4 linked regions of the Rattus norvegicus genome follow. The protein of the gene in region 2 interacts with the protein of the main gene of each other region in a pairwise test. Links are inferred from orthologs where the notes say so. Each region holds a gene or a part of one and is shown on either strand. Other genes may lie near its edges.

Region 1 (8,571 bases), about 25 Mb from region 2:
CTTAGAGCCAAAGGTCAGGTCCATGGAAGGCTGGACAGAGCCTGCATCCTTCTCACAGGTTCTCGCCTTCACGTTGCAGGTGTACCCAGCCGGGCAACAGTGCTGCCGGTCCTCACAGCACACAGCCTGTGGAGCAAGAGAATGGCTTGCACTCGTACCCCAAGAACACAGCTCCCTTCTCCCAGGGCAGTGGGTGGAGACTCACATGGGGCAACTGGCAGCAGGCCCAACTTCCCTTCAGGCTTGGGCAGCATGTTTGCCCTACTGGGCAGCTGGTATGCTGGTCACAACCAATATCTCCATGTTGGAGCAGAGTTGTCTGGCGGACAGGCATCTTCTCCAGGCCAGCCACCATTCTGTCTCCCTTCTGACAGTACCCCTCATCCATACATTTGAAACCCTGAGGGCAGCAATGCTGGTGGTCTAAGCAGCAGACAGCCTAGCGGTGGGCAGAGAAGAATGTTCCTACAGAGGATCATGGGAGTCTACCTCTCCTGCTCATAGCTTCTCCAGCTGGGGACAAATCACAGCACTGGGTGCCACCCCGGACTACGCAGAGTGCAGAAGAATAAGGCTACAAGACTCTTGTCACCTACCTACCCAGGCCAAGATGCTATCCCCACCCCTCTGGGCTGTTTCGCTTCCCTCGTTACCTCTGGGATGGGACAGCAGCCCCAGTCCCCAGAACTGAGTCTGCAGCAGGTATTGTTAGAAGGACAGCTACTGAAGTCATCACAGGGGACATCATTCTTCAAGATCTGTGGGTCTGGCAGGCTGAGGGAGGCCGTGACCTTTTTCATCCAGGGTACCTGAAGGACTCCCAGTTCACAGGTTCCTGTCTCTGTGTGACACTGAAACCCGGCTGGGCAGCAGTGAATGTGGTCTTCACAACACACAGCCTTAGGTAGACAGAGAGAGGCCCCGATAAGCACTGGAACCAAGCTAGCTGCCCCCTCGGCTCGGACCACTTGTGCCCACTGCTCCCAAGTACCTTGGTGAATGGACAGCAGCCCCAGGCCCCAGTGTTGAGGCGGCAGCAGGTGTAGCCATCAGGACAGCTCACCTCCAAGTCGCACTTCACCTCATTCACTGTGAGGTAGGGAGAGACCAAGTCATCGAAGACAGTGTGACCAGGCGTCGAGAATGGAGCACACAGCTATCCCAGCCACAGTGAACCTCATGCAAGCCATCAAAACCCACCCCATAGCGTTCCGTAACTGAGAACCCTCTTTATTGAGCAGATGAAATGGGGTCCCATACCTGGGTATCCAGGCAGCTTGGTCATGAGATCTGTGGTGTAGTCCTTGGATATGCACTTGCTCTGGATCAGGTCACATACAGTGTCCTGGGGGCAGCAGTGCAGGTGGTCGGAACAGCAGATGGCCTAGGTTGGGACAAGTAGAAGTCTCTGAACTCTGGCGAGCATAGGGAGCAAGCCAAGCTGATAGCATGCACTGCTCCAATCGGCCACTAGGGGGCAGCACGAGCCTTAAGGCTCTCAGATCAACCGAGTGCCTGGAGCCCCCTTGTCCAGATCCAGGGGAATCCAGCCATTCACTCACGTTGGGCATTGGACAACAGCCATACTTCCCAGTGGGTAGCTCACAGCAGGTAGAGTCATCAGGGCACTGGGTCTTAGCATCAGGGCACACCACGGAAAAAGGGAAAGCCACTGAAAGAGCAATGAAGCATGAGGGAGGGGCTGCTAGGATAGAGGGACTTTTCCCCTTCACCCCCAGGTGCTGGCAGGGTGGCTTCGGGCCTCCTCACCTGCCCTGTTGGTCCTTTGTGCGGGGAATTTCTTTAGTAAGGGGTGGGTGCCCGTGGGTGAAATGCATCGCGTGTGAACCAGGTCACAGGAGGCCCCGTGGGGACAGCAATGCACTCTGTCTTCACAGCAAGAGGCCTGAGAAGAAACAAGTGGTCCTAAATCCATCTGTGTCAGCCCCGGACCCCAGCATTACCCTTCTACCCATAGGTGCCACATTTCCCACACCCTATACCTGGGGCATGGGGCAGCACCCCCAGGAACCATCAATCATAATACAGCAGGTGGCGGAGTCAGGACATTCGAACTGGCTACCAGGACACTGGACAGCACCCAAGAGGCTATCTGCAGATCCAAGAATCCAGAATTCCATTAATCCAGTTGGTCAAGTACCAGTACCATCACTGAAGGAACTGCAGGTCCAGCTGCAGGAGGCTTAGCGGTCAGTCCCAGGGCTTAGGTGATCTCCCAGGACCCCACCAGCTAGCTAGCCCCTACTGCTAAGACATCCAGTGAAACTGGGCTGGTGCTCAAATCACTCCGGCACGGCCTCTCTGTGTCCCACAACGCTGGAGTGTCTGTCACCTTCTTCTCTCAGAACTGCCCCTCCCAGGGCCACCCAGGCAGTTGGGCTCCTGGGCACTTCAGGTAACTCCTGATGTCCGTCCCCACGTGCCCCCTCCCCTGTGCCCCACAGCACCTGATATCTGAGAGCAGGATTTCCCATCCACACTACAGTGGAAGCCCCGGGGGCAGCAGTGCTGGCCATCATCACAAGATACACCCTATGGACGAAGAGACACCTGTGTGAGCAAGACCCTTTTGCCTGGGACTAGAAGAGTGAAGGAAAGGGGTAAATGCAGATCTTAATCAATCTCCTGTTCCCCTAAGCCAATGGCGGCCTCACCTCAGAGAACGGGCAGCAGCTGGAAGTCCCAGACACAGTGAGAAGACAAGAGTAGCCATCAGGACAGTGGTCACGGATCTGGCAGGAGCCATCTAGACGACGGCTCGTTATTATAGGCCATGTGTCCTGGAAAGAAGAGATGACATCAATCAAAGGATCTGTGCCAGTCCTCTGGCCAATCTGAGGTAGACAGTCCTTCAGAAAGCCCAGGCTGCCAACTGGGGCATGAGACACTCACCAGAAGAGGGTTACAGCAGCTGTAGTTGGCTCCTCCCTGGTCAAGGCAGCAGGCAACAGGGCAGAATTGACCATCTGGGCACTGTGTTCCAGCCACCAGCCTTGCCACTAAGGCCAGCCAGCTCACCAGGATCCACATGGTCTGCCTGCAAATGCCAAGCAAAGTCTGGCAGCCATCTTGAAGCCTGTGCCACCTTCTACTCCAAGGCTGTGCATTCCCCTGTGCTCAGGCCAAGGCCTTGGGTTTATTGAGCATTCTCAACGGGAAAGCAGGCAGATGTGTCGCTCGAGTCAGCGCCCTACCCGTGCACGGCACTCGTGTGTCAGCTTGCACTCACTGTGAGCATGAATGTTGGCAGGAACACCAGTGTCGATTCATATGGCCTAACGCCTGAGAGTCTGAGTGCGTGGAGAGGAGGGGAGGGGGTTATGACAGTCGGGAAGGCATGTGGCTTTTGTGGCTTTGATTTATGGAACTGAGGACTAATTGGGAGGCAGAAGAGACTTTAGCAGCCATAAGAGGAAGCCAGCCCCACACCATCCCGCCCGCCTAACTCCACCCCGGCCTGGTACCAAACTGTCTGCCACCTGTAGCTTTCAAAGGCCTTGGGGGACAGAGTCATCAGTCACATGATCATATGGGAAACCTAGCGGTGGAGAAAGTTGTAAAAACAGAAGTACTGTGGCCAGTGGGGTCTGGGCTGGCTTCCCTATGGGCCAGCCACTGCCTACCCACAACTGTCCCCACCCCACTCAAGGGAAGGGGACACAGAGGCTAGGTCAGCCTCAAAGCTAACTTCATGATGAGGCCTTCCGGACATCACCAGGGTCCTTTTGGACTCCTCAAACAGACTGCCTCTGTCTCTCCCTGATCAGAAATCGAAACTCAGCTGCAAGTGGGAAGAACCAGTGGACCTCTTCACTGACTCTCTGCCTCAGCAGGAGGAACTGAACCTCTCACTTCCCTATAAGCCTTTTCCCAGCTCAGATGGTCTACCCAGCAACCCAGAAAGATGTTATTCTGCCTAGAGCAGCAAACCCAGTAATATTCAAAGACCCTCCAGGGAGCCATTTTCCCCTCTCACTGTATTTCTCAGCAATCTATGAAAAGCAATAATTAAAATATTACTTTCACTTTTCAAATCCATGCCTAAGGATCAAGCCAGGGGGGAAAAGACAGGGTATTAGACTGGGTTCATATGCCAACCGTTGTCTCTGGTCATTGCCAGGGAAGGACCCTGATTCCCAGAGGCCAGAGGTGCAGAGGGATGGGGCAGAAGATTTCTTGGCAGGTGACCCAAGCAGGATAGAAGCAGGGTGGGTACAGGGACTTCGTTGAAGCTGCAGTTGGGTTTTAGTCCTGGAAGTAACACTCTAATCTATGACTGAGGGCCTCAGAAATTGTTCCTTCCCTGTGTCTCAAGTCTTCAATCTCTGCCTGGACACTGGTGGCTACAAAAGGCAGGAAATGCCACCCACGCATGGCAGGCATGCTTTTGATCCCAGCATTTGAGAGGCTGAGGTAGGAGGGTTGCAAGTGCCAGGCCAACTTGGGCTACAAGGTGAATCCGAGGGCAGCCTGGGCTACAAGGTGAATCCCAGGCCAGCCTAGGCTACATAGAAGGATCTGTCGTCTCCCCCAACCCCCTCTCTTTCCTTTTTTAGGTCCTTCCAAGTGCTCTTTAACCTAACCCCCACCCACATAAAAAAAAAAATCCCAGAGGCCATTTCCTAACCAGGAAGGGGTAAGGGAGACCCAATTCCTCTCAATAGGACTGGGGAGTGGTGAGCCCCTGACCACCTCTACATTACACAGCCAGGGAGAACCGGAGCCTTTCAAAGCCCTAGCTCCGGCATCTTCCACTAGGTGGCACCCCCCATCTCCGAGTGTCAAGGGGAGATGAATTTCCGAAAAGGTGAGCCAATCCTAATGAGAAGGAGCAGGGAAAAGTGGCGGGGAGAGGCAGGCGGAAGTTAGCTCTCTCGCCCCCAAGAAAGGAAATACAACTGACACAACCCAGGGATTCAGCCATCAGGCCCGGGTCCTGCCCCCAACCCTTCTGAGCTCTGGGGACCAAGGGCGGGAGACTCCCCACCCACTGCACGCCGCCGCGGAGACCACTTGCAGCATCAGAAAGAGAAAGAGCCGGGACCTGGAGACAGGTGGCAGGTACAGACAGAGGAGCTGGCCCAAGAGTGGGGTGGTTCCTGCCCTGGAGAAAGGCCTGCAGCTTTCCAACATGCTGGGCAAGAGGAGCCTCTTACTGGGGGTATCTACGACAACCGCTCGTCCCCCCCCCCAAAAAAAAAAAGAAAAGAAAAAAAAACCTCGTTAGTGCATCAGAAACCCCTAGAGGAGTTTCAAGAGGCAGGTCTTCTCTTGTCTCTGAGCTGAGACTCCAGAGGACCCTCAATTGCACAGCAGCCTGGTCAGGCCTCTGGACAGTAGCGGGGGAGATATCTGCAAAGGATCCTCCTACCTGCGTCGGGGTCCGCGCTCCCTGGGAGGCATCTGGCGGTCAGCTCCAGGACTAGGGCTTGGCCGCGCGATGGCCCGCCCACCTCAATTTCCATTAGCCATGGCTCAGAGATCCAGGGCTTTCATTGGTTACTTGTCTACGTAGAGGCGGGACTCTCCAGGAATGCTGTGTTTCTTTTTCTACTCATTTCACATTCCTCCTCCCTTTCCTCTGTCTCCCCACACCCCATTTCTAGGGATCATGTGATTAGAGAATCATATGACAGCATAGCCCGCCTCCCCCAGGGCAGCTCTAGCTTGTTTGGTTGCATTTAACCCCGGGTTCTGGCGGCGCCCGGCAGGGTGTTGTGAGACCAGACACCGCTTGCCTAAGGCCACCAACAGTTAAGAGAGCTGCCCTGAGGGCACACGTTCAAGGTCGTTTACTGGAGAGTGTCTGCTTCTGGATCGCGACTTTTGTACATTCTCTGCCTTTTCACGCCTGGCAGCCAGGACTCGAAAGAAGTTGAAAGATGGTTGTGAGGGTGAGGATAAATAGTCCCCTGGTTTGAACGGGGAGAGTGGCTTAGACTAAATCTAATAAAAGTTCAAAAGCGAGCACCAGTCACTATAGATGTGTGCAGAGAGAAGACAGGAGATTAGCTCAAGGTTAGGGAAGAAGAGATTAAAATCCTGCTTGATAGTGCAGCATTAAGTTGAATCTGAAAGAACTTTAAGAGGTTGATTCGAGGGGTTGGGGATTTAGCTCAGTTGTAGAGCACTTGCCTAGCAAGTGCAAGGCCCTGGGTTCGGTCCCCAGCTCCGAAAAAAAGAGGTTGATTCGGCGGGACCGAGGAACTTGAAACTAGATAGGAAAGACAGCCTCTAGTAAGGATTGAAAGCCACGTTCAAGATAAGGGCCTTTGGACTCGCACTAAGTGTGGGGCGTGGGCTTGTGGAGCAGGCTGGTGACTGTGGAGATCAAGGGGTTTCCTTGTTTCAGCTGTCCCCACCTTCGAGGAATTGTTATGGTGGGAGAATAGAGAAATTTTAAGCTGTAGAACAGATTAGCCAGAAACAAGAGCCAGGCTGCTGAGTGCCAAAGGGCCTGGCCAGACAGAGACGGTGATTGGAGAAGGGCCAAGAAGACAGACTCTAAGAAAGGCCAAGGCTGGGCCTTGGAGAAAAGACTGTGTTTGCTTTCAAGGTGGAAGCTAGGTTACCCCACTCCTACCCCTAGAAGCAGAAACCTTTACTGGGAGGCCAGTCAGGATCACGGGGTCAGCCACACAATTCAGGACAGTGGGAGTTCTGCACCGAGAGGAGTGCGGGCTTGTGGAATTCCATGAGGGCTTCTTACACTGGAGCTCCAGGAGTCTCGGAAAGTGTGTAAGACTGGAGCAGAGAATCTAACATAATTCGGTACCCTGACGATGTTAGCGTAGGTGTTCCATGACATTCGTATAGGTATCCCCAAAACAGACCACGGCTTAGGCTTCTAGTGAGACACAGCCATGATGTGGAGGTTGAGGAAGGGAGGTTGCTTAACCCCAGGAGTTGGAAACCAACCTCAGCGACATTGCAGCTCTCCCTCTGAGTCAGGGTTTCCTGTGTTCCGGACTTCAACTTGATAAGTGGCTGAGAATGACCCAGAACTTCTTGTTTTCTGCTCCCACCACGCAAGCGCCACAATTGCAAGGGCAGATAGCCATGTTTAGTTTATGCCGTGCTGGGATTAGACCCAGGGCCTTGTTCACACTGAGCAAGTGCTACCCACTGAGCTACATCCCAGACAGGGCACTTCCTCAAGAGAAAAATAAAAAAGAATGGGGGAGGGGCAGGAAGCTCAGCAGGTAGTCACTTATCAACCAACGTGATCTCTTTGACTGACATGGTTTTAAAAGGAGAGAGACAGACAGACAGAAATGGCTCCCAGAAGCCATCCTCTGTCTTCTGCACATAGCTTTAGTGCACTCACAGACTTACATACACGATCACTTGAAACGACTGAAAAGATAGAGCAAATTCTGGGGTTACAGCTCAGTGGTGCTGCTCTCATCCAGAAGAGAGGTTCTGGTTTCCGTCTGACGGAGGGAGGGAGCAAGCGGGAGTAGGCTCACCTATAGCAGAGAACATTTGGACCGTCTCTGCCCACCTTGTTTTGTTTTTTCAAGAAATCTCTGTGTAGTTCTGGCTGGCCTGGAACTCACTCTATAGACCAGGTTGGTCTCAAACTCACAGAGACACATCTCCCTCCGCCTCCTGAGTGCTGGGATTTAAAGGGCATGCACCACCACTGCCACCACCACCCAGCATATCTACCTCGTTTTTAAAGGCAAGGTCTCTCATTGTTTTTGCCTCTGCACTGTGGGCTTCATGGTACCTGGCCCTTAAGCCTCCATATGATTTTCTTGACTCTGCCTCCCACCTTGCCATAAGAGATCAGCCTCTTTAAATTTTTTTTTTTTACTTTTTATTTTGAGATGGAAGCTCCCTAAGTTTTCCAGGCTAGCCTTGAACTCACCATGTAGCCCATATAGAACTTGAACTTGGACCCTTTAGCTGAGATTATGGACATGAACTTATATCTTTTGCCTGCTCCCCCAAAACCCCTAACCGAGACAGTCTGTCAGGCCTCAAACGTACTTTGTAACCTACACTAGCCTTGAACTTCCTGACCTTGATCCTGGTGCCTCGGCCTAAGTGCTGGGGTTACAGATTTGAGCCCCTTTATGCAGCCTGCCATCTTCGTAGTTACCATTTCAGGACTTAGTTTTTGTAAGCTTTGTAAAAATTTTTAAGTTTTATGTATATATGTATGTATGCACCATGCATTTATGTGCATCATGTATGTGCAGGAACCTTTGGGGGCCAGAACGTATTGGATCTCTGGAGCTGGAGTTATAGCCCAATGTGAGTACTGCAAACCAAATTCTCTACAAGAGCAATAAGTGCTCCTAACAGCTGAGCTGCCTCTCCAGCCCTAGAACTTACACTAATTTTGTAAGTGCTTGTGGAAAATGGAAAATTATATTCTGGAGATACTAAAAACTATTAATAAATAAATAAAATAGGATAGTATAAACTTTTTGCTAAAAAGCAGAAATATTGGGGTGTTGTGTAGCTATTTCTCTTGAAATGAAACATCACCTCTTAGAGAGAAAAAGAAAGCTCGGGTAAGATTTAAGAAGTGAAAAAAAA
Region 2 (7,836 bases):
CTAGCAAGCGCAAGGCCCTGGGTTCAGTCCCCAGCTCCAAAAAAAAAAAGAACACTGACTGCTCTTCCACAGGTCCTGAGTTCAAATCCCAGCAACCACGTGGTGACTCACAACCATCTGTAATGAGATCTTATGCCCTCTTCCGGTGTGTCTGAAGACAGCTACAGTGTATATAAGTTTTTAATAAAAAAAAAAGTCAGGCTGGGAAGATGGCAGTGGTTAAAAGCACGGACTATTCTTTCAGAGGTCCTGAGTTCAAATCCCAGCAAGCACATGGTGGCTCACAACCGTCTGTAATGAGGTCAGATGCTCTCTTCTGATGTGTCTGTCTGAGGACAGCTACAGTGTACTTATATATAATAAATAAATCTTAAGTCACAAACAACTTTGTTATTCTCTAAGGCAAGTTTATTCTAGAGAAAAAAAAATCTTCATCCCTATAATCTGATGGGCTCTCTCTTTCCTACAGATGAAAAGTCACTCCAAAATAAACCAGTATTTAATTAAAAAGTAGCATACACCTTTAATCCTAGCACTAAGAAAGAGATAGACATGTATTTGAGTTCAAGGCCAGCCTAGTCAGCATAGGTAGTTCCAGGATAGGGAAGACTACATAGTTTCTAAAAACAAATTAGCATGTGCAGTAGGCAATAGATGTTTATACCCAAGGAGTAGAAATGACATAAAGGATGCAAATAAAAATTGTTTTCTTTTAGTGTCATGGAGGATGGCCTTCAATCCCAGCACTCAGTAGGCAGAGGCAAGTGGGTATGAGTTCTAGGCCAGCTTGGTCTACAAACTCAGTTCCTGGATAGACAGGTTTACACACAATTCCTCCCCCACAAAGTTATGCATTCAGCAAGTTTTCATTTTTCTTTAATTATCCAGGTGAGGGATCTGCAATGGCAAACTGAATGTCAGAGGACCACCTCTGGGAACCAGGAATTGGAACTCAACTCAACTCAGGTCTAAGGCTTGGAAGCTGGTGCCTTTGCCTACTAAAAGCTATCTCTACAAGTCCCAAAAAATTCTGTTGTTCGAGTTAGGATTACTTTAGGTGGGGGTTGATGGGTTTGTGATTTTTTTTTTAAGACAGGTTTTTCTCTGTGTAACCTAGGTATCCTACAACTTTCTCTGTAGACCATACTGTCCTCAACTCAGAAATCCTGCCTCTGCCTCCCAAGTGCTGATAGATTGCACCACCATTGCATGGTATGTCAGGAAAGTTCTTAATTCCCTGCCTGGCACGTATTTAAGAGCAAGGCTCAAGGGTTGGGGATTTAGCTCAGCGGTAGAGTGCTTGCCTAGCAAGCACAAGGCCCTGGGTTCGGTCCCCAGCTCCGGAAAAAAAAAAAAAAAGAAAGAAAGAAAGAAAGAAGGAAAGAGCAAGGCTCAAGCCTTAGTAGTTAAGGAACAAAACTTGGAGGAACACTACTGCCCAATTCATTATAAGCAATTAAAACCATGAAATGCTTTGCTAATAGAGTATACACTTTAAGAAACAAGAGAGGGTGGCCAAAGTTGGTGGCATACACAGGCAATCCCAGCAGCACCTGTAGAGGATCAGAATTTCAAGCCCATTTGGCTTATAAAACCTTGGACTCTATCACTTAAAAAAAAAAAAAAAAAGTGGGGTTGGGGATTTAGCTCAGTGGTAGAGCGCTTGCCTAGGAAGCGCAAGGCCCTGGGTTCGGTCCCCAGCTCCGAAGAAGAAAAAAAAAAAAAAAGAAAGAACCAAAGAATTCAGATATACTAGTTTGGGGCTGGGGATTTAGCTCAGTGGTAGAGCGCTTACCTAGGAAGCGCAAGGCCCTGGGTTCGGTCCCCAGCTCCGAAAAAAAGAACCAAAAAAAAAAAAAAAGCAAAGCTGTGGGGCTTGAGAGAATGGCTCAGTGATTAAGAGCACTGACTGCTCCTCCAGAGGTCCTGAGTTCAATTCCCAGCAACCACATGGTGGCTCACAACCATCTGTAATGGGATCCGGTGCCCTCTTTCTGGTGTGTCTGAAGACAGCGACAGTGTACTCATATAAAAAATTAAAAAAAAAAAAACAAAAAACCTGTGAGACCCTATATAAAATAATATTAATATTATCTTTAAAGCAACATGAAGCCCCTCTAATTATGTGACCAATTATGCTTTTCTTGATCATTTTATGTTGGAAAATTACATTCCTCTAAACTTTAATATGATTTCCAAAAATCTCAAATTAACTGATGATACTAATTCTTACCCAGGTATTCCCAATATAGAGTATCAAATATACGCACACACCCACGCACACACCCACGCACACACCCACACACACCCCCACACCCACCCCCACACACAGGATAGAGAGGGGAGGGACTTATCAGCCCATTGGAATCTTTGAAAAAGAAACAAATAAGAGTTACCTTTAGTGTGATATACAATAGCAGCCCTCAGGTCAAAAGAACCCCAGCTATCATTCCTTTCTAGGCCTCTCTGGTATCTCTGTTCTTTGGCGGAGCCTAACAAAGTGTTCGTAGGAGAGGCCAGAGGATTTTGATTTTCTATTTCGTAGTCCTTTGAGAGAAACACTAAAGCACCTTGACTACTGGTGTCTGCTTTTTGCAGGTCACCTATATGACTGGGTTCCAAGGATAAGGCTCCACTCTCAGTAGTCCCAGGTTTTAGAATGTTACCCAGAACTTGAGGACTAGTCCGTTTTTCCAGCTCATAAGCCTTGGGAAACACAGGATGCTCAGTTCCTGAGGGAATTATTTCAGCACCCTGTGAAACCAAAGTGGCAGGATATTCTCCTTGAAATGTCACTTCCATCACTTTATGATCTGATGACTTTCCAATAACAGTCTCTGGGCCAGCACTGGGTTCATTTATAAACGATAAACCCCACTGATTCTGGAATATATCTCCCAGGTTTTGCTGATCTGTCTGAGAGGGCAGATCTACTTGTGCACTTAACAGCACTGTTTGCATATTTGAAGGGTAGATAAAAAGGCTAGACTTAATTTGTTCAACAGCTGCTGAACTCAGACTCATGTCCTGAAGAACTGAATCAGTCCCAGTAGAGATGGGTGTTAAAGTATTAGCAGCAGTAGTTAGCAGTGGCTGACCCGCAGATGGATACATACTTCCATCAGTTCCTGCTAAAACAGGCCCATTAGAAAAACTGGCAGAAGTAACAGATTTCAGAGCTGACATGGGGACCTGGGATAACCGACTTGAGGATTGGGTCTGAGTTTCCCCAGTAGATGATGATGATGAAGATGAAGTTGGTGACACAGAGGAGTTCTGTACAGTTTTGTTGAGGTTTTCCTTAACTTTGCTTGCATAACTTATTTTAGGAACTATTTTTGCACTGCTATTGTCCACTGGAAAAACTGGGGGTGGTTTAAACAAGGTCCACGAGTCCTCTTTGGAGGCAGCAGCTGAGGCATGCTTTCCTTTGGGCCGATCATCAAACTTTTTGCTACTCAGACCAGGTTTAATATCTGAACTTTTACGAATTATGTCACCCATAGCAGGTTTTCCACGACTTGTTCCTCCAGGTCCAGTTTCGTATTTCCAAATAGGCTTCGAACCATCTACTCGAGTTCCCTTTTGTTCACTGTAGTCAGGCTTTAAAGTTTCAAGTCCCTGTTTTAATGCTGGGACACTAGTCTCTTGCATTATTTTGTCTTGCACTAAATTAAGGTTTTCACAACCCTTGGCACTATTGCGCCTAGCTTTCCTTTTCTTAGGAGTGGTATATCCACTCTCAGATCCACTCCCATCATTATCTGCTCCTTTGCTCATATAACCATTAGTAATATAGCCTGAATTATTTGTTATAACACCATTTGGAATTGCTATAGTGTCGGTCTTATCTACAGCCTGGGTCTCTCCAGATTTATTTTCATAAGACTTCCCATTCTTTTTGTCCATACTGTTTTTCTGAATAAAATTCTTGGTTTTAATTCCTGCTTTTCCAAAGGTGCTGGTCTTTACAGTCTGCTTCAGGCTCGTGTCTACAACTTGCTGGTTGCCATTGAGGACCCTGGAAATAGGGTTGGTAGCTTCATCAGAACTGAGGTTCTTTAAAGATATTTCTCTTTCTCCAGCATTACCATTTATTTCACCATAGCCTATAGAAGGAAAACAAAAACAAACAAAACACATACATTTAAATCACAGCAATACTGAACAACTTTATTGAACCCCAAATACCAAGTAAGCTGTATGTAGGGTTTGTATCTCGTCTCTTGTCAGCCCATTTTACAAATTTTATGACACAGAGTTCATTGCCAGTCAGAAGCAGACCTAGGACACAACTCACATGAGGTCCATCTACTGGGCCAGTAGCCAAAATCAACTAGAAAGATCAGGACCTTTCAAGCAGCAAGCCATAATATTACTCCAAACTATCTAAACAGAACAAACCTTATGTATTACAGCAATGAGGTTGTTATAACAAGTGAAGCAAGATGATTGTTGCATGTTTGAAGCCACCCTGGGTGGGTGGGACAAGGATAGAACCTTGTCCCAAACACATACTATTTAAACAAACCAGTGCTACTTCAGATACAATTGTAAAAGGAAAATAAAAATAAGACTTTGGCTTTTGCCTCCCTTGCATGACCACTGAATTCAATCCCTACCCAGTACTACTTACTGCCCCTCCCTCCCTTCTCCCAAAGAGGAAATTGAGGGCTGTGAGTGAGTAGTTGCCAATGTCTATCAGACAAAGCCATAAGGCCTGTGGACTTCCAAATATAACTCCACATAAGAGTATACCATAACATATGAAACAAAAATATGTAAAACATTTTTAACTCTTTTATTAAGACTCATTCTCTTACTTTCCCTTACTTTTGGTGTCTATTTGAATTAAAGGACCAGGAGAGAAAAAGTTAACATCCAAGTCAGAGTAGCAGAACTAGAAATCTGTCTACAACCCAGATTTCTACCCCCTTGCAACACTTTCACGCTCACAAAACTACTATGAAATGCAACTAAAATTCCAAAGCAGGCAAGTTTTTGAATATAGACTTCACTCCATACAGCTAAGGTTTTGTCTGTTTTTTGAAATCAAGTTTTTCTGTGTAGTCCTGACTGTTCTGGAAATCACTGTCACTGAGCTCAGAGATCCACCTGCCTCTGCCTCCCAATGCTGGGAATAAAGGCATGAGCAACCACTGCCCAATTTACAGTTAATTCTTACTAGAAGTGATTTACTGGGTCAATCACAACTTCCTGCTCACTAATAAAATGGGGACTAGCTATCAATTGTTTTAAGATCTTTGGGAAATCCTCAATCAAACAACAAATACATTTTCTTCTGTATGAACTTCCAGAAAATAAGAAAATGTAGTTGAACAAATAGCAAACTACAGACAATACTTTTGCTTTCTGACACGGGATTTCTATGTAGCCCTAGCCATCCTAGAACTCACTCTGAGATTTGCCTGCCTCTGCCTCCCAATACTGGGAGTAAAGGTGTACACAGCCACTGTCCTGCATTAGAAATACACAATGGCATGTATCAAGTTCAAGGTTCAACCCTTACTTAGGAAAAATAAATTCCTTATTTCCAGCATTGTATTACCATTTTTCATTTTCTAAAAACTATGATAGCCAATCAATCAAACTTCCTGTGTTGCTTTGAGCTGAGCTCAAGATCTTATCATACTAGGAAGGTCTTCTACCAATAAGCTCTATCTCCAGGTCACAAATAAAAAAAAAATTTCATGGAGCTGAGGTGGTGGGACATGCTTTCGATCCTAGCACTGAAGAAAATCTGAGTTTGAAGCCAGCCAGGGCAAAGACCCTGTCTCAAGTGTTATTTTTTTTTTCCTCAGAGAGAGGCTAACTATAAGACAAAAACAGTATATGTAGTTCTGTATTCTATAATGTTTTCTTTAAAAAAAAATGCAGAATGTTAAGCCAGGTCTAGTGATACGTACCCCTGCAATTTTGTCTCAAACAAAAAAAAAAAAAAAAAAAAAAAAAAAAATTAGGGGGGTAGAGACTCTAACTAATAGATTTGCCTGAACCAAAGGCAGCCAAGAGAACTACTTTACCATTTAATAAGTTAAGCAATTGGGGTTGGGGATTTAGCTCAGTGGTAGAGTGCTTGCCTAGGAAGCACAAGGCCCTGGATTCGGTCCCCAGCTCCGAAAAGAAGAACCAAAAAAAAAAAAAAAAAAAAGTTAAGCAATATCTGTATCTTCTGATTCATTAATCATAATTTTATATATTTAAACTAAAGGTGGGCAATGTTACATGCAATGATAAAAACTGAAGTCCAAAAAAGTTGAACCACAACACAAAATTTTAAGTAAACTGCAACAATTCTACCTAAGTTTGCTTACTAGTAACTTAAATACCAGAAATAAATCATGGGGGAAAAAAGCTCAGGTAGCAAATGGTGGCCCACATTAATTCCAGCTTCCTAGGAGAATGAGGCACCAGAATTACAAATTAAAATGTAGCTCAGTGGTATATAGCTCCTACCTGCTATACACCAAGGGTCCTAGGTTCAATTCTAAGTTTACAAAATGCAACCTACTAGGCAGCTTTTAAAAGTGTTAATGACAAAAATAAATAAATCTCACTTCTGAATAAATACATAGTTGTCTCCCTGTGGCCTTGGTATGCAGAAAGTCTAAAAAGCATCTTTTAAAGCTTAGATATTTAAGAAAAATGTGAAGATAGTAGTTATAACAGAAAGCAAAGAATTCCTGTGTCTTTACTATTTGGGGCTGCCATGATAACTCCACTTCAAATGGACTCAGTAAAACTTGAGTCCCAATAAATCTAGCTTTTGGATTTGACATTGCAATTACTCAACATGTTTGGCCTCCTATGCCCTTACTTCTGAATACAGAAAACCAGTTTCACTTAAGTTTGGGAGTAATGGTTCATAAAAACCCATTACGTTATGTACCTAACATTTTCTAGATTTCTTAGCACTGTATAAAATGACCAAACTACACATGGAAAAGCCACTCAGCCCAACTGATAATATTCTTCATCCCAATTTAAGACATTTTGAGGACAGCCACCTTCAATGAATGGTTCAAGGTCTGCATCTCTATGGAGTAAGGAATCCGATGGGGAATACACAAACCTTGTAAAAGATAAATTCTAAATCTTTGAACAGTTCCATTTGGCAACCTTGACACTTTCTCACCTTCTGAAAAACCAAAACCAATGCAGTTACATAATTCCTAAGTCTCTAAGCTGCTGTAAATCCTTACAATTAAACATTTCTGCTCCATCATCAGTCCCTACCACCTTATAAAAGAAAATCTGATATCCATCCAGGTGTCTTCAAATAACTTACGGTCTACACTAAGTTTTTCACCAGTAACTACTTGTATTATATGATAGGCTAAGTTTAACATTTTTCTAAGCATTCCCTTTTCAGTTTAAAAAAAAAAAGCACTTTAATGTGCTTATATATAAACTTTGATGCTTATTTTTTAAATATTTCAAGACTCCACGTTTAATATGTTAAATAACATTCAGTTTGGGGATAGAAGTCGGTTTTAAAATGCACCAAAAACACCTCTCACTTTAACCAAAAAGGTCTTGTCCAAGGTAAGGGATTAGTGACAACCGCATGGACAAGTCACTTCCTTTCCAGTTCATCGTTAAAGAAACAGGGAACCCAAAACTGCCCGTGTTGTCCATCCAATCGAACATCTGATTAATCCCTCCTACAGTCACTAACCCAGCTCACAAGTTTAGTAGGTGTTGAGTGGAAAAACCAATGGAGTAAGGTTTGAGAGGTTGCCGGGCCCCCCACCCTCCTTGGGTAGGAAATGCGCTGCTATAAAGAAAAAGGCCTAAGTGAAAAAGCCTCTGAGG
Region 3 (8,584 bases), on a different chromosome or scaffold from region 2:
TTTGCAAGCATCCCAGGGGGTCACCCTGACCAAAAACACCACACTGAACTCACATTTAAGTTAGTGAGTTTCCCAGAGGGACAACCCTGCCACTTGGAACCTTTATCACCCTGGACCAACCTCCGTCTCTTAGTGCCTTAGCTGTGATCCATATGTATGGAGGGTAGTAAGTGAAGTGCAGAGTGCCCCCCATTCCTTTAACCCTGGGACCCTAAAATGCAAGGCTGGAACCCTCCCCCAGCTTTGTGACATGCTTCTGGACAACTCGAAGCCTTACCTGTGCATTCCCAGGATGTGGAAGCCACAGTGCCAGGATGGTGACAGTGAGTATCCTGTGGGCAGTGAACAAATGGAGAGTGAATGCCGAGGGATGCTCATGTCCAGGAAACCTGGACCTCCTGCTACTCAGGCATTTGGTTGGTAGTTTTACCATGGACTTGCAAGTGAGTAGGGAACTCTCAGCAGAGCCCTCTGCTCTACCATAAGAGCCGGCCTCTTAACACTTGCTTCATGTGATGGGATAGTGAGTTAGGTCACATGGTTGAAAACAAAGCTTTGCTGCTTTGGAACAAAAATCCAAAGACCCACAGTTGGGTCATCAACCAACTGTCCTGACCTTCTACCATTCTGCATAGAGACCGCCTGAGTTAAACATTATTCAGACATGACTGCAGAGCCAAGAGCCTCTGTGCCTTTAAACCATGAAAGCTAGAATGTGGGAGGCTTTGTGTTTGCAGGAGGTCACTTAACCAGAACTTGGAACCCTCCATCCACATGTGAAAACCGGGACTTGAATGGTCCAAGAACCCAGGGTCCACCCTAGCGTGTGCCTTGTGAGAACTGCCATCCCAGGGGGTGGAAGGCGGAGGAACCAGTGTAAGAAAGGCAGTGGGTAGCAGTAGGAAATGCCGTGACACCCTGGCTCAGCCAACATGGCCACCCACAAGCAAGTAAACATCTTTGCCTGTGGGTAATTTGGTTCTTTGCTGCGGCCAATGTTTTGTCTGGAAACTGTGGTCACCAGTATGCTTTAAAACAGCAAAGTCTATGCCACTCATACCCATTAAGATGGTTATTTGTGTAACATGTACAGACCTGTGTGTGTTGACATGTGTTGCTGCACATGTGTAAGTGCATATGTACATGTCTGTGTATTCCTATGGGGACCAGAGGTTGGCATCCAGAATCTTCCTCAATCATTCTTCACCTTATACATTGAAGTCTCTTACTTGTACCCAGAGCAAGCAAACACTCATACATGTAAAATAATTTTTTAATCTAAAAGAAAATGCAAGACGGAAAACAGCAAGTATAGGAAGAATGTAGAGAGATCACAGCTCTTGTGCATTACTGATGGGGAGGTCAATGGTACGGCTGTGTGGCATCCATCCTCACCTGTGATCCAGCAGACCCACTCCAGAGTGTATTCCCCAGAGAACTGAGTCAAAGACCAGACAGACGTATGTACACACATGCTCACAGCAGCATTTTGTATAATAACCAAAAGTGGATACAATTGAAATGTCCATGCAAGAATAGCTAAACAAAAACAAAATGTGTTCTCTCTCTCTCTCTCTCTCTCTCTCTCTCTCTCTCTCTCTCTCTCTCTGCGTGTGTGTGTGTGTGTATCTCTTCTGTGTCTGTCTTTCTGTGTGTCTGTCTATGTCTCTCTCTCTCTCTCTCTCTCTCTCTCACACACACACACACACACACACACACACACACACACACACACACACCCCAACAATGTTATTCAGACTTAAACTTGAAAGTTGGACACCATACAATATGGAAAGCCAGGCACATTGCTATGTGCTTGTAGTCCTAGCTGCTCCAAAAGATTAAAGTGCAAAGGTTGCTGAAAGCCAGGAGTTCAAAGCCAGCCTGGGCAATATAGTGAGATCCTATCTAAATGAATAAATAAAATTGAAGCAGTGCAAAAGGGAAGCTAAGAAGGTTCCGCAGGCGAGGGAGCTTGACCTCAAAACGACAACCTGATCACCAGGACTCACGGAATGGAAAGAGAACCAACTTTTGAAAGTTGTCCTCTGACCACCACACGTGCACAGCAACACATGCTTCCCCTCAAGTAAATAAATAAATGTAATTAAAACAAAACAAAACAAAAAACAGGAGCAGCAACACTGATGATCCATGAGGACGTCATAGTGAGAAGAGTGACGGTCACAAACACATAGAATTCAACTTACATCAGGTACCCCAGAACTTTCAGACTCAGAAAGAAAAATGGTGGCTCCAGGTTGTGAGCTTCTGGGGCAGGGAGGGGGTGTTTAATAGGTAAAGGATTTCTTTAAGTTGTTTTCTTTTGTGGCTTGGGGCTTGTGCCTTTTTTTTTTTTTTTTTTTGAAACAAGCTCTCACTCTGTAGCCCAGGCTAACCTACAACCATCAATATGGTCCAGTATCCTCAAACTTGGGGCAATTGTACCTCGGCTCCCTGGGTATTGGGATTACAAGACACTTCTGCTGGCCTCTTTTTTGTTTTTCGTTTTGTTTTGTTTTTTTAAGACAGGGCCTCATGCAGCCCAGGCTAGCCTCAAACTGGTTATGCAGCCAAATCTGGCTCAGAACTCCTGATTGTCTCCTGCCTTTACCTCCCAAATGCTGGGGTTACAGGTGTGCACCACACAACACAGAGTATGGTACAAGAGCTATTTTGCAGGTTAAAGAGTCATGCATGGAACCTGGGCATATAGCCAAGGGAGCCTATGGAACACTATCAACATGGGCACTTAATGCAGGAAAGATAGAGACAATGTGAAGTCTCTGCAGACGGTCAAGTCTGTTAGCACACTGTTCATCTTGCAACTACAGCTTACAACACAGATACTGGGCAGGAGAGCCACAGAGCTGTGGTCCAGCTGCCATTCACCTGAGCTCGCTGCTTTGTGCCATGGGCCAGGAGTACAGTTTTGCTTTGATAAGAATGTCAAGAGTCAGCAGAGGAAGCTTCCTGGAGGGTGGTGATCTTGCATGTTTCTCAGCACGGCTGTGAACCGGAGGCTTACTATTTACCCACCCAGCGCCATGGCTCTACAGCCCCCACCTTTGCAGAACGAGTGCTCAGTAGACCCCAAGCTCACTGACATCCCAACCCGCAGCGAGCGGAGAAATAGCAGTAGGTACGTAGAAGACGCGGAGTGAAGGCAGCACCTAGGCACCCAGACAAAACTGAGTCCGATGTGGTCCTGGAAGACGCAAACCCACTTCCCTCACGGAGTCCCAGATCCAATCCTGGGTAGACAGGTTTTCATTTCATTTAACCGCCTGTGTGAGTGAGCCAGGTTCTCCAACGTTGGAGACAGCTCTGACCTTATAAAGTACAGAGCCAAATCCCTGGGCTTTTCGGATATTTGTGAGAGCCAGACTTTATATCTGGAAGGAATAAGAGAACAATAACAAATTCATTTTCCAGGCTGTAGATTATGAATTTCAATGTTTTCCTGTTTCTTCTCATGAAGTTTCCTTTCAGGTGGTTATAAAATCCTGTCTCGTTTATGTTGGAGACAGAGCAGCTTGACTGCATGCAGTACAGCTCAAGAGAGACTGGAAAAGGCGTGCTAACCCTACCGGCTTCTCCCCTACCCCACTCTCTGTTCCTTTTGGTGAAAGCCAGCCCAGGGCTGGCCAGCCCCAAGCCCAGCCTCCTGGAAGAGCGGGGGCCAAATAATCTCCAGGCTAATAGAGAGGCTTTGCAGAAAAAAAATCGTACCAAAAATGAAGCAAAATTAATACTGGAGAGGAGAAACTCTGTCTCAAACTTTTCTTTTGAATCTGGGTTCACCATCCAAAAGAAGAAGAGGAGGGAGAGGAGGAGGAGGAGGAGGAGGAGGGGGAAGAGGAGGAGGGGGAAGAGGAGGAGGAGGAGGAAGAGGACAGAGCCTCCAAGTGCCTGTCAATGACAGACATTGCTGGTCGGCGATTCGGGATGATAATGTTAACTATGTCTTACCATAATATGGCTCAGTTCGTATGCGTGTTAGCATGCATGCACCCCTCCCACATGCAAGCACACACAGAGAAAGTGTGTAGGTCTGTGCAGGGCAGCTCTATTTTCAAGAGGCACTGGAGAAGGGGAGGACAGATGTCATCTTTAAACTTCCTCAAGGCTCAAGGATTACTTGACTGGAATTGCAATTTCCGCAAAGAACAGCAAAACATTTGCTTACATGCGTCTCTGTCTGCAGTGTCCACTGTTCGTTGGCTCGAAACTTCTAGGTCCCATTCCCTCTGTAAATCGCACACATAGAGCAAACGCAGACAGGAGTGTTCGGAGACTCCTTCTGCTTGTCCCACAGCCGTCGCAGCAAAGCAGTTGCTGGTGCCGTAGTCAACAGTCTCCCAAATTTAAAAAATATGTAGTGTGATATTTTAATAACTGCGCACAGCGTTGCTGCCCTTTCCAAAAAGAAAGAGAAATGATCCAAAGAGGCTGTCTGCTGCCTCTCTCGAGATGCTGACTCCTGATGCTGTTAGAAAAATCCCCACTCCCAAACCAAGACTTCGAGATGAGCGCAGCTTTTTGTAATTAACAGGGTCATTGCATCACTTGCTAAAAGTCTTTTCCAGTGCCCTGACACAGGCGGAATCTCAGCCATAGCCATTTTCCACCCATCAGGTCTGGAGTTAGGTTTCTCAAGCCTGGAGACAGTTCCTGGCGCCTTCCAACCTACCTTTTTAATCCTGGCATATCCAAGATGCGCGGGAGGAGAGGTGATTTGAGGAAGGCAGGCTCTGCGCGGGACCGGGCAGCTTGGTTTCCGAGGGGCCGAACGGGGCTGCGCGGAGGGCCGGGGACAGTGCCGGGTGCTGGGAGCCACTGCAGAGCCCTCGCCGCCGGCACCTGGTTTCGCTTAACCCCCTTCAGTAATTCAGCATTAAGCCAATTGGAGGAGGAATGTTAAAAATGAACACTTCATTTTCTAAGTATGTTAAACAATGCAAATGGGGCCTCGGTCTGGACACAGCTGGTTCAGATTACAGCGCTCACCAACTGGCTAGACTCCTCACAACAATCTTGGGGCGTCTGCCAGGGCCAAGTGCTCGGTGCTGGGAGGGGAGCCCAGCAGAGGGAGAGCGGGGCTGAGGGGCGCCGGGCCTCCCCGGGGCGGAGCGGGGCGCGTGCGAGGGGGCGTGTCATCAGGCCCTGTGGCAGCAGGAACTTGAACTCACCACCAAAGCGGCTTCAGGGATGTGAGCAGTTGGGAACCCGAGGCTTAAAGCCAGGGTTGGAACAAGCGCGATACCTAAGCAAGGATGTGGGGTAAGGGAGGATCCGGGAAGAACAGGGAGATTGAAGGAGAGCAAGCGATGGCTGAGATCTCTGGCTGCCTTCACCTCGTCCTCCTTGGCTTTTAGTTGCTGTGTGTAGAAAGGCGGTTTGTAAAAAGTTAAAGGCGAGAAAGCCTAAGAATGGTGGGTTACACAAGGACTCTGGAAGTCCTCCCTCCCCTTTGTTTTCTAGCTCTGGAACCCCCTATCGAGTGCAAAAATGCCAAAGACACTGCTCTCCAAAAGACAGGACGGGGCTACTACACTGCAAGCCCTCCCTTGCCTGAACCTTCTCTTGGACCCTCAACTGCCTGACCTACAGTTTAGAGAGCACAGGGGAAGAGTTTCCCTCCCTTACCATGCCTCTGTGCACTAGAAACTAGCTCCACTTCCTTGGAGGTGAGAATAAAAGGGGTTGAGTGACTTCCCCACTGGCTCACGTCTCTCAGAGATGCCGTCAAGCCTCTGAAGTCTGCATCTTTATGTACTCTTTTCTAACGACACTGTTTTGAGGAAATGGACTCCTACTCTAAAATCTCATTAGACTGGACAAGAGCAGCCAGCCAGACGTTGATGCTGTTGAAGCTCGGAATCCAATTGACCCGATCTATTTCCTATGGGTGTATGAAATGTCTAAGACTAAACTATATTTAGGTTCATCTCATTCAGGAGATGGTACATCCCTCCCGTTGTTCTAATAAGTAGGATTATAAGAATCTTTAAGGTTCACCAGTACTGCCCTAAGGGGGCGAAATAAAGAGATTCAGGTGGAGAAATGAATGAGAGTAACCATTCAAAATAGCTAGACACCTAAGTGTGCACACGGGCCAGCTCTGTCTACGTAAGGTTCAAAGGCAGGACTGGCGGGAGCTGAGTTCTGACCAAGGTGCTTCGACAAGGCACACAGACTCGGACTCCATGATGTTGTGCTGTAATACGTTTCGAAATGCCAGAGGCTCCTAATACACTGATTTTGAAGGCTTTCCAATATAGTTTATAGTTCTGACAGTAGAATTGTGATAGTCACATAGACCACTTTACTCACAAGGTGGCTCAAAACTGCTGGTAACTTCAGTTCCAGGGAATCTGATTCCCTCTTTTTTTTTTCTTTTTATTGGATATTTTTAATTTACATTTCAAATGTTAGCCCCTATCCCATGCCCCCTCCCCCTGCTTTTATGAGGGTGTTCCCCCACCTACCCCTTCCCACCTCCCCACCCTAATATTCCCTTACACTGAGGTATTGAGCCTTGGCAGGACCAAGGGCTTCTCCTCCCATTGGTGCCCAACAAGGCCATCCTCTGCTACATATGCAGCCAGAGCCGTGGTTCTGTACATGTGTACTCTTTGGGATAGTGGTTTAGTCCCTGGGATCTCAGGTTGATTGATATTGTCATTCTTATAGGGTTGCAAACCCCTTCAGCTCCTTCAGTCCTTTCTCTAAGTCCTCCATTGGGGACCCCATTCTCAGTTCAATGGTTGGCTGCAAGAGTCCGCATCTGTAATTGTCATGCTCTGGCAGAACCTCTCCACCATGTTCATAGCAGCCTTATTTATAATAGCCAGAATCTGGAAAGAACCCAGATGTCCCTCAACAGAGGAATGGATACAGAAAATGTGGTACATTTACACAATGGAGTACTACTCAGCTATCAAAAATAATGACTTCATGAAATTCATAAGCAAATGGATGGAACTAGAAAATATCCTGAGTGAGATAACCCAATCTCACACACACACACACACACACACACACACACACACACACACAAAACACCATGGTATGCACTCACTGATAAGTGGATATTAGCCCAAAAGTTCAGAATACCCAAGATACAATCCACATACCACATGAAGCTGAAAAAGGACAGCCAAAATGTGGATGCTTCATTCCTTCTTAGAAGGGGGAACAAAAATATTCATAGAAGGAGATACAGAAACAAACTTTGGATCAGAGACTGAAGGAATGGCCATTCAGAGCCTGTCCCACCTGGGGATCCAGCCCATTTACATACAGCCACCAAATCCAGACACTATTGCTGATGCCAAGAAGTGCATGCTGACAGGAGCCTGATATAGCTGTGTCCTGAGAGGCTCTCCTGATTCCCTACTCTGACCTCCAGGGGCACTGTGTATATAAATTATGCACAGACATACGTGCAGGCAAAACATCCTTATCTATAAAAGAAAAACTTTAAAAGTAAAAGGAAATAAATGTCTAGAGCTTTGTGAAAGTACAATCATGGAAAGAAAAAGTCAATGAGATCAAAACCTTAAGACGTAGGTTGTGGAGCTTTGTGAGAGGCATGCCATTAATGTTGTTAATCTCCCTCCCCCACCATCCCCTGCACAGTTTATAGGTTAACAGCGTCATGGGTTTATAAGAACAGGAAAAGCTTGGTGCATAAGGCTCGGTACTGACTTTGGTGCCTCCACTTTATCCCCAGTGTGTAAGTGATTGCTTGAACATGCTAGGTCGGTAAGAGTTCTACCACTGAGCTACATCCCCAGTCGGCAACCTGAGTTCTTTCAGCTGATCATTGTATAGCATCTGACCCAGAGGCGCCCATGTCTGTCTTCTCCTCAGCCTGCCTCTGCCACCTGCTTCCTTCCTAGCAAGGCTGCTCCATTACGGACAAGTGTACCACACAGCTGCCCGACAGCTCTCCCCCACCCGCTCTCTTTTACTATCCGGGGTTTTCCACATGTCCTTATTACATTTTCATCTGTTATTCAAACTCCTTCTTTACAAATTCTGTTATCAAAAAAAGCTCTAAGTGTGGTCCCCAGGCGTGAACCCTGTATCTGCTTGAAGTGACTCATTCTCCATGATCAGCTCCCCATGAAGCTTCAGGAGGGTGCGATCTGGAGTGGAGTGGAGTGCTTTTGTCCCTGGCCCCTTCTCTTTTTAGTGCTGCTGCTGATTGCAGGACCCTGAATACCGCCACCTTCTTACCTCAGCTTCCCTGTGTCCCAGACTCCCCTGCAGTCCCTCACAGGCCACTCCTTCTACCTCACAAGCTTTGCACTTCCGAAACCCTGCCATCTGGTTTACAGCCTGTGAGAGATTCTGTCGAACATCTGATAACATCAAAACACATTAGCTCCAGCATTTCCTGGTCACCAAAGTCTATTTTTAAAAATAAAAAGAGGATGTGGGTGTAGTGGCTCACACCCAAAATCCCAGAAATTAGAAGGCTGAGCAGAAGGCTCAGAGAGTTGGAGCCTTGCCTGGGCTACACCTCGAGTTCCAGGCCATCGTGGGCTCCAGAAGGAAAGCTTGTTCTCCTTTC
Region 4 (6,595 bases), on a different chromosome or scaffold from region 2:
TTGATCTAATACCTTACGTCACCCCAGCCCTCTGCTGCTGGTGCACTCCTGTCACCAGACCCACTAGACATGTGGGCGACTCAACTCAGCTCCCCGACAAAGGCAGGGGTGAACGTGGGTGCTGAGGTGAGCTGGCTCAGGCCCCACCTAGCTTGTGTTCTACTTTCCGTCTCCTGCCTCCCATCTCAGACATAGATGAGTGTCGCTACCGCTACTGCCAGCACCGATGCGTGAACCTGCCAGGCTCTTTCCGATGCCAGTGTGAGCCCGGCTTCCAGTTGGGACCTAACAACCGCTCTTGTGTGGGTGAGGCTGTGCCAGACCAGGTTCTGGGATCCTGGGTAGAGATGGGTGAGGTAGGGGCAGGATCTCCTTCCTGAGCCCAAGTCGAGTGGGTGTTTGTCCTTGCACCCTCAGATGTGAACGAGTGTGACATGGGAGCCCCGTGTGAGCAGCGCTGCTTCAACTCCTATGGGACCTTCCTGTGTCGCTGTAACCAGGGCTATGAGCTACACCGGGATGGCTTCTCCTGCAGTGGTGAGAGTCCACTTGTGCTACTGGATACTGCATTGGTACCCCCCCCCCCCCGCACTTGCAACGTATTGGACCAACTCCAGTCACACAGTCATTTGTTTGAGGCTTCGATGTCTCGCTCTCTGCACCCGCAGGCCTTCATGAACTCCATCTTGAGCTGGTTGTTTGGCACTCCCAGCTTGGGGGGTTGGTACGATAGGTGCTTCTGAAGCTTGCTGGAGAGACAGAGAGGGATGGAGGTGCCCGTCTTCCTGAAAGTTGAGTTGACTTGCATTGGAATCCTGCACTAGGAAAGTCTCTTCTTCCTGGGCACATTTCTAAGGCAGATGGGCTATTTGGAGAGTTAGGGACAGTGACTGACAGGCTTCATCAAGTCTCAGGCAGAAAAAGTAGGTGCCATGCGTTTATAACTTAAATTTTCAGTCTCGTTTTATCTGGTCAGTGATGATTTACTTTTGTAAACAGAACATTAAAGGTGTGTTGGTGGAACTGTAGAAAGTAAGCAGAACGTTGAGAGACAGTGGTGACTTTCATCTTTCCCCTTACAGAGATGAAGTGACCTGTCCAAGTTCAGATGGGAAGGATGAGGCGGGGCTTGGGCTTACCCCAGGCATCTCAGCATGTCACCCGGCACACCCTCATTGTTGTGTGCTCTGTGAGGCACAGCATCATTGGTGTTTAGCGGTGTGAAAGGAGCAAGAGCAGACAGATAGGATGCTGCATGTGGGTCACACGCTCAGCCAATCTGGGCATTCTGACTGCAAATCGCAAGACTTACAGAAAAGAATAGAGCAGGTTAGCCCCTCAGGACACCTCTAGTCTAACCTACTCATTTAACTGGCTCAACGTGGACCAACGTGGCTCAATGTGGTACCCCCAAGCCTCTAGACTGGTGTTGCTTTTTAAGACAGAGCCTATATTACCGTGGCTGTTGTAAAGCTCTCTGTATAGATCAGGCTAGCCTACAGAGATCTGCTGAGTCGTGCTAGAATCAGAGGCACAGGCCACCATGTTAGGCTAGTGCTTTGTTCCGTATTCTTAAAGTCCTGGGAGAGAGGTGCTCTATATGCTTGAAGGTCTGCTGTTGTTTTGAGACAGGGTCTCATTGTGTAGCCCTGGCTGGCCTGGAGTCTCTTATGTAGACCAGGCTGCCTCACACTGACCTGCTTGCTTCCGCCTCTGCCTCCCAGATGTTGTGATCAGACACCCCATTGTTTGCTTTTCAAGGCACGATCCATCTTGTTATGTAGTCCTGGCTGGTTTTGATCTTAATATAATCCTGGTGGGGCTCCCCATGTGGATCAGGCTGACCTTGAACTTGGTATAATCCTCCTGCCTCTACCTCGCAAATGCTGGGATTGTAGACTATAGCACCATGCCAAGCTTCAAACCTTTCTATTCTTTGTCTTTTCTTTTTCCTCTCCCTTTCCTTGCTGGGATGGAACCTAGAGCTTCAAGCGTGTTAGGCAAGTACTCTACCACCGAGCTATATCCCCAGCCCTCTAACCTTCCTCTGAAACCTTCAGTCCCCCTTTTGAGCATTATGGGTTTACTTCACTCCCTCTCTCTTCCCACATCCAGCCTTATGGGGGGGCTGGGCTCTCTCGGTAAAGGTCTGTGGGACTTGGTTGTGAGGACTACCCTCGGCCCAGGGTCCTCATCCCCACCCTCCCTCAGATATCGATGAGTGCAGCTACTCCAGTTACCTCTGCCAGTACCGCTGTGTCAATGAGCCAGGTCGCTTCTCCTGTCACTGCCCACAAGGCTACCAACTGCTGGCCACAAGGCTCTGCCAAGGTACAGGTGCTTGGGTGGGCAGGAGTTGAGAGGCTGGCAGCTTACTGTCAGTCCTAGAGTCCAATTCCACCTCCCTTGGCACAGACATTGACGAGTGCGAAACAGGTGCACACCAGTGTTCGGAGGCCCAAACCTGCGTCAACTTCCATGGGGGTTACCGCTGTGTGGACACCAACCGTTGTGTGGAGCCCTATGTCCAAGTGTCGGACAAGTGAGTCAACCTGGTGGCAGTTTGCTGTGGTAACTACAATTTCCAGAGGTCTGTGGGGCTAACTGGTTTAGTCAGGCTGGTGAGTACCCATGACATCTCATGGGAATGAGTCGGGTTTTCCTCTTTAGGAAGTAGGTATTGGGGAATGGGCCTAGCCCTCACTGCTGTTTCGTGTTGGGGTCTCTAGCCGCTGCCTCTGTCCTGCCTCCAACCCCCTTTGTCGAGAGCAACCGTCATCCATCGTGCACCGCTACATGAGCATCACCTCAGAGCGAAGTGTGCCTGCCGACGTGTTTCAGATCCAGGCAACCTCTGTCTACCCTGGCGCCTACAATGCCTTTCAGATCCGTGCTGGGAACACACAGGGGGACTTCTACATTAGGGTAAGGTGCTTCTCTATTCAGACCCAACTGACTTATCTAAAATAGAATGCCTCAAATCACTTAAGTGGGAGCTGCCCTGCCTCCTCTCTCAGAGCCCTGTCCTAGGAAGCAGGGGTCACGGCAGAAGTCAGAGATGGTCCATATTCCTAGTGAACATGCTACAGGCAGTTCTAAGGAGTAGTTGGTTAGGGGGTGAGTCCCAGTACTGCTCTCTCCTGCCTGGCTTTGATTTCCTTATCCATTAAACAAGAACAGTTCCTGCAGGGCTGGGGTCAGGGACTCCAGTGTGCTGGCAAGGGGAAGTTAGGGAGGCTGGCGGAGGTGTGGGGCATCTTGGACGTGGGTCCTTATGCTGCCTTCAGCACTGAGGTGTTTGGCTTCAAAACCTCTTTGGGGCTGACATCACAGCTCCATGGCAGCTCCACTCAGTAGGCCCTCAGTTCTTCCCCAGCACTAGAGTGATGACAGAACTGAATACTTTGGAGGGGAAATGGGACACTCTTGGTCACCAAAGGCCCATCATCCCTGAAACTCGAGCCATCAGGTAGTCATGATGGAGGGAAACGCAGGGTGGATAGGGTCAGGATGGAGCTGATGAGGAGAGCCAGTGGCAGGGACTCATACTGACGTCAGAGCTGGGGAAGGATCTGCAGTGGTCTTATCAGACTTTCCTGACCTCAGGACAGGAGGGAGGGGTGATCCTGGAGTAGGGTCCTGGCTCATAGGCTAACACCATCTCTATGTTCTGCCATCCACTGTGCCCTGCAGCAAATCAACAATGTCAGCGCCATGCTGGTCCTTGCCAGACCGGTGACAGGACCCCGGGAGTACGTCCTGGACCTCGAGATGGTCACCATGAACTCCCTTATGAGTTACCGGGCCAGCTCTGTACTGAGACTCACCGTCTTTGTGGGAGCCTATACCTTCTGAAGAAGACCCTCAGGGAAGGGTCATGTTGGGGGGCCCCTTCCCCCCTCCCATAGCTTAAGAAGCCCTGGGGGCTGAAGGATGACTGTTCTGTTTAAAGGGACTATGATGTGAAGGACAATAAAGGGAGAAAGAAGGAGTCCTGGCTGAGGTGGGTGAATAACCTCAGCCTGGGAAGGGGCTGGCTTGTGAGAGGCAGGCAAATTCCACACAGGAATCCTCTCTACATTCAGGCTGAGGAGATGCCAGAATCAGCCTGAGCTGGGCGTTCTCCAGAGTGTATACTTCAGGCCCTATTCAAGAGCTTGGCTGATACTGGACCCAGAAACCATGTTCAGGTCAGTGCTAGGAGTTTGGGGTGACTGTCTTAGCCCTACCCAAGCTGTGCAATTGGACAAGCCCTATTGTCCAATCACTAAGATGAGGCAAATGGATGGAGAACACTGTTCTCAAACTATTTGACCAGGGCCGTCTAATTACACTCAAAAATACAGTACCCTATTGACTCCATCTCCCTGACCAGGGCATTCCTAACTCTTTTTTTTTTTTTTTTAAGATTTATTTTATTTATTATATATAAGTACACTGTAGCTGTCTCCAGATACACCAGAAGGGGGCATCAGTTCTCTTTACAGATGGTTGTGAGCCACCATGTGGTTGCTGGGAATTGAACTCATGACCTCTGGAAGAGCAGTCGGGTGCTCTTAACCGCTGAGCCATCTCTCCAGCCCCATTCCTAACTCTTAAGGAGTGTTTATCTACCGTCCGTCCGTCCGTCCGTCCGTCCATCCATCCATCCATCCATCCATCCATCCATCCATCCTTCCTTAGGGTCTCTGGCTTGGTGTAAGTTAAGTTCTTATTATAGCTGTGCACAGCCATGTTTAGCCTAGGAGCTGGCCTTGAAAAGAACCATGGTATAATGGCCACACCTTTAATTCTAGGATCTGGCAGGTAGGCCAGGGAAATTGGGAGTTCTAGGCCAGCCTGGGTTATATAGCAAGTTCTAGACCAAGCTGGTTTTAGGAGTGGGTAAGGAGACACTGTACAAGGCTGCAGGTCGTTGCTATGTGGAAGAGGAATTGCCTGGCACGTGTGAGGCTGTGGGTTCCACCGCTGGCACTACCTACCACACAATTGGATCTCCCGCAGTCTTCCAGTTCCTGCACATTTCATAAGGACCTTGGCATTGCTTCCTTAACACCACACACATTTGGATTTTTATTAAAGCCCAGAGGACCTGTTAAAAGGCTAGCCTTGGTAGAGATGAAGATGGGTGCTGGGGAGCATTTCCAGGTATAGCTCAGGTCAAAGGGCTGTGGCTGCAATACAGCTGGTACAGGGTCCTGCTCAGAGCAGGTCCCAGATTTCTGCAAGAAAAGTCAGGAGAAGGTCAGCCTGGTGCCTCAGGCAACCCAGTCTTCTCTCCAGATTGTAAGTGCCCATACCTCTGCAGACGCCCACACTTGACGGTGCTCAGCAGCATCTCCTGCTCCTTGGTGGTGGCACAGGCATCATAGGCAGCCAGGAGACTGGGGGTGAGGCACATAGAGGCTGATTATCTGGGCAAGCATTGCGAGACATGAGAGCTAAGGCAGGAGGGGTTGAGCCCAGAGTGGAGGAGTTTTTTTTTTTTTTTTTTCTTTTTTCTTTTTTTCGGAGCTGGGGACCGAACCCAGGGCCTTGCGTTTGCTAGGCAAGCGCTCTACCACTGAGCTAAATCCCCAGCCCCAGAGTGGAAGAATCTTAAATGCTACACATTTCCTGTTTCTGAGGTTAGAGCTCCTGTTCCATCCTGCCTGCCCTCCCTGGGAAACACTGGGACAGAGCCTGCCAAGGTTCCCGTGTAGAGCCAAGCTCACTCTCCGGGAGCACTGTTTATGTTGAACTCCATGCAGGAAGGAAGGGCAGAGGAACCCTCAGCAGCTCTCTGGGGTGTACCTGGCAGGGGTGCTGTATCGATCCACCAGGGCTGCTGCCTTCTCCCCACTCAGTCCACGCACCTGCATCAGCTGCCGGGCAAATACCTCTCGCACAGACTGGGCCTGGGGTTGGGGTAGGACTGTGTTAGGGGTGACCTCGGCCTAGGTCACCTGAGCAGAGGCGAGGCAGGGGTGGTACCTTGTTCTTGACAGCTTCTGCATTGAAGTCACTGAAGGTGAGGAGTGAGCAGAGAGGGTTTGTGGAAGGCTTTGCTTCTGATTCAGCATCCCCTGGGGTTCCCCAAGGGCGGCTGTGTAGGGTGTGGCCCTGATGGAAGAGGGGACTGAGGCCAGGGTAGGCGCTAAAGACTAACCCCAGCTAATCCTTTCCCAGGCCCCAGTGGGAAGCCTGAAGAACTGGGATCCCACCCTTCCTTGCTTGGGCAGTAAACACCAGGCAAGGGTCCAGTACTGGGTAGAGGCACCTGCTCACCTGGTACAGTCTTTCCAGGCCCTTTGTCAAAAGCGCCAGGTAGCCAGCTGACTCCTTAATATCCATGGTACGCTTCACAAAAAAGCCATCAATGACCTGGAGAAGAGGACATAAGGAAGGTAGCTCCTGGCCTGAGCCATGGGCTATAAAGTCTGCCAGCCTGGTCCTGCCCTCCCAGCTCACCTGGGTGTTTGTGACAGCCTGCAGCAATGTACTCTCAGGAAGGCTAAGGTTTTGGACAGACCCATGTTCCTCTACCAAGTATATCCGGTGCCCCAGGCCACAGCGCTTCAGGCGGAACTAGGAAAGCAGGCAGAAGTAGCGTGGG

What was found.
Region 1: the proteins of Nufip2 (region 2) and Grn interact in binary tests that used the Homo sapiens proteins (3 or more experiments, as listed by UniProt). The link is inferred for Rattus norvegicus from reciprocal best matches to the Homo sapiens genes NUFIP2 and GRN.
Region 3: the proteins of Nufip2 (region 2) and Fbln5 interact in binary tests that used the Homo sapiens proteins (3 or more experiments, as listed by UniProt). The link is inferred for Rattus norvegicus from reciprocal best matches to the Homo sapiens genes NUFIP2 and FBLN5.
Region 4: the proteins of Nufip2 (region 2) and Efemp2 interact in binary tests that used the Homo sapiens proteins (3 or more experiments, as listed by UniProt). The two-hybrid records come from large-scale screens. The link is inferred for Rattus norvegicus from reciprocal best matches to the Homo sapiens genes NUFIP2 and EFEMP2.

What each region holds. Positions count from the first base shown.
Region 1 is NC_086028.1:87,884,704-87,893,274, reverse strand, and holds the start of Grn (progranulin isoform a precursor), read right to left. Parts: upstream 5,442-8,571; 5' UTR 5,425-5,441; coding exon 5,393-5,424; exon of another isoform or gene 5,241-5,392; intron 3,059-5,240; coding exon 2,914-3,058; intron 2,802-2,913; coding exon 2,676-2,801; intron 2,554-2,675; coding exon 2,469-2,553; intron 2,114-2,468; coding exon 2,004-2,113; intron 1,907-2,003; coding exon 1,771-1,906; intron 1,673-1,770; coding exon 1,563-1,672; intron 1,385-1,562; coding exon 1,261-1,384; intron 1,090-1,260; coding exon 992-1,089; intron 900-991; coding exon 654-899; intron 440-653; coding exon 206-439; intron 127-205; coding exon 1-126. UniProt on the Homo sapiens protein: Secreted protein that acts as a key regulator of lysosomal function and as a growth factor involved in inflammation, wound healing and cell proliferation. Regulates protein trafficking to lysosomes, and also the activity of lysosomal enzymes.
Region 2 is NC_086028.1:63,075,007-63,082,842, reverse strand, and holds part of Nufip2 (nuclear FMR1 interacting protein 2), read right to left. Parts: intron 4,110-7,836; coding exon 2,397-4,109; intron 1-2,396. UniProt on the Homo sapiens protein: Binds RNA.
Region 3 is NC_086024.1:126,737,772-126,746,355, forward strand, and holds the start of Fbln5 (fibulin-5 precursor), read right to left. Parts: upstream 4,936-8,584; 5' UTR 4,711-4,935; coding exon 4,694-4,710; exon of another isoform or gene 4,246-4,693; coding exon of another isoform or gene 4,190-4,245; intron 333-4,189; coding exon 278-332; intron 1-277. UniProt on the Homo sapiens protein: Essential for elastic fiber formation, is involved in the assembly of continuous elastin (ELN) polymer and promotes the interaction of microfibrils and ELN. Stabilizes and organizes elastic fibers in the skin, lung and vasculature.
Region 4 is NC_086019.1:212,214,748-212,221,342, forward strand, and holds the end of Efemp2 (EGF-containing fibulin-like extracellular matrix protein 2 isoform 1 precursor), read left to right. Parts: intron 1-189; coding exon 190-306; intron 307-417; coding exon 418-537; intron 538-1,983; coding exon of another isoform or gene 1,984-2,000; intron 2,001-2,211; coding exon 2,212-2,331; intron 2,332-2,415; coding exon 2,416-2,542; intron 2,543-2,729; coding exon 2,730-2,925; intron 2,926-3,693; coding exon 3,694-3,855; 3' UTR 3,856-3,992; downstream 3,993-6,595. Other genes in the region: crossover junction endonuclease MUS81, read right to left, coding at 5,156-5,222, 5,301-5,384, 5,794-5,897, 5,974-6,102, 6,268-6,363, 6,451-6,567. UniProt on the Homo sapiens protein: Plays a crucial role in elastic fiber formation in tissue, and in the formation of ultrastructural connections between elastic laminae and smooth muscle cells in the aorta, therefore participates in terminal differentiation and maturation of smooth muscle cell (SMC) and in the mechanical properties and wall integrity maintenance of the aorta.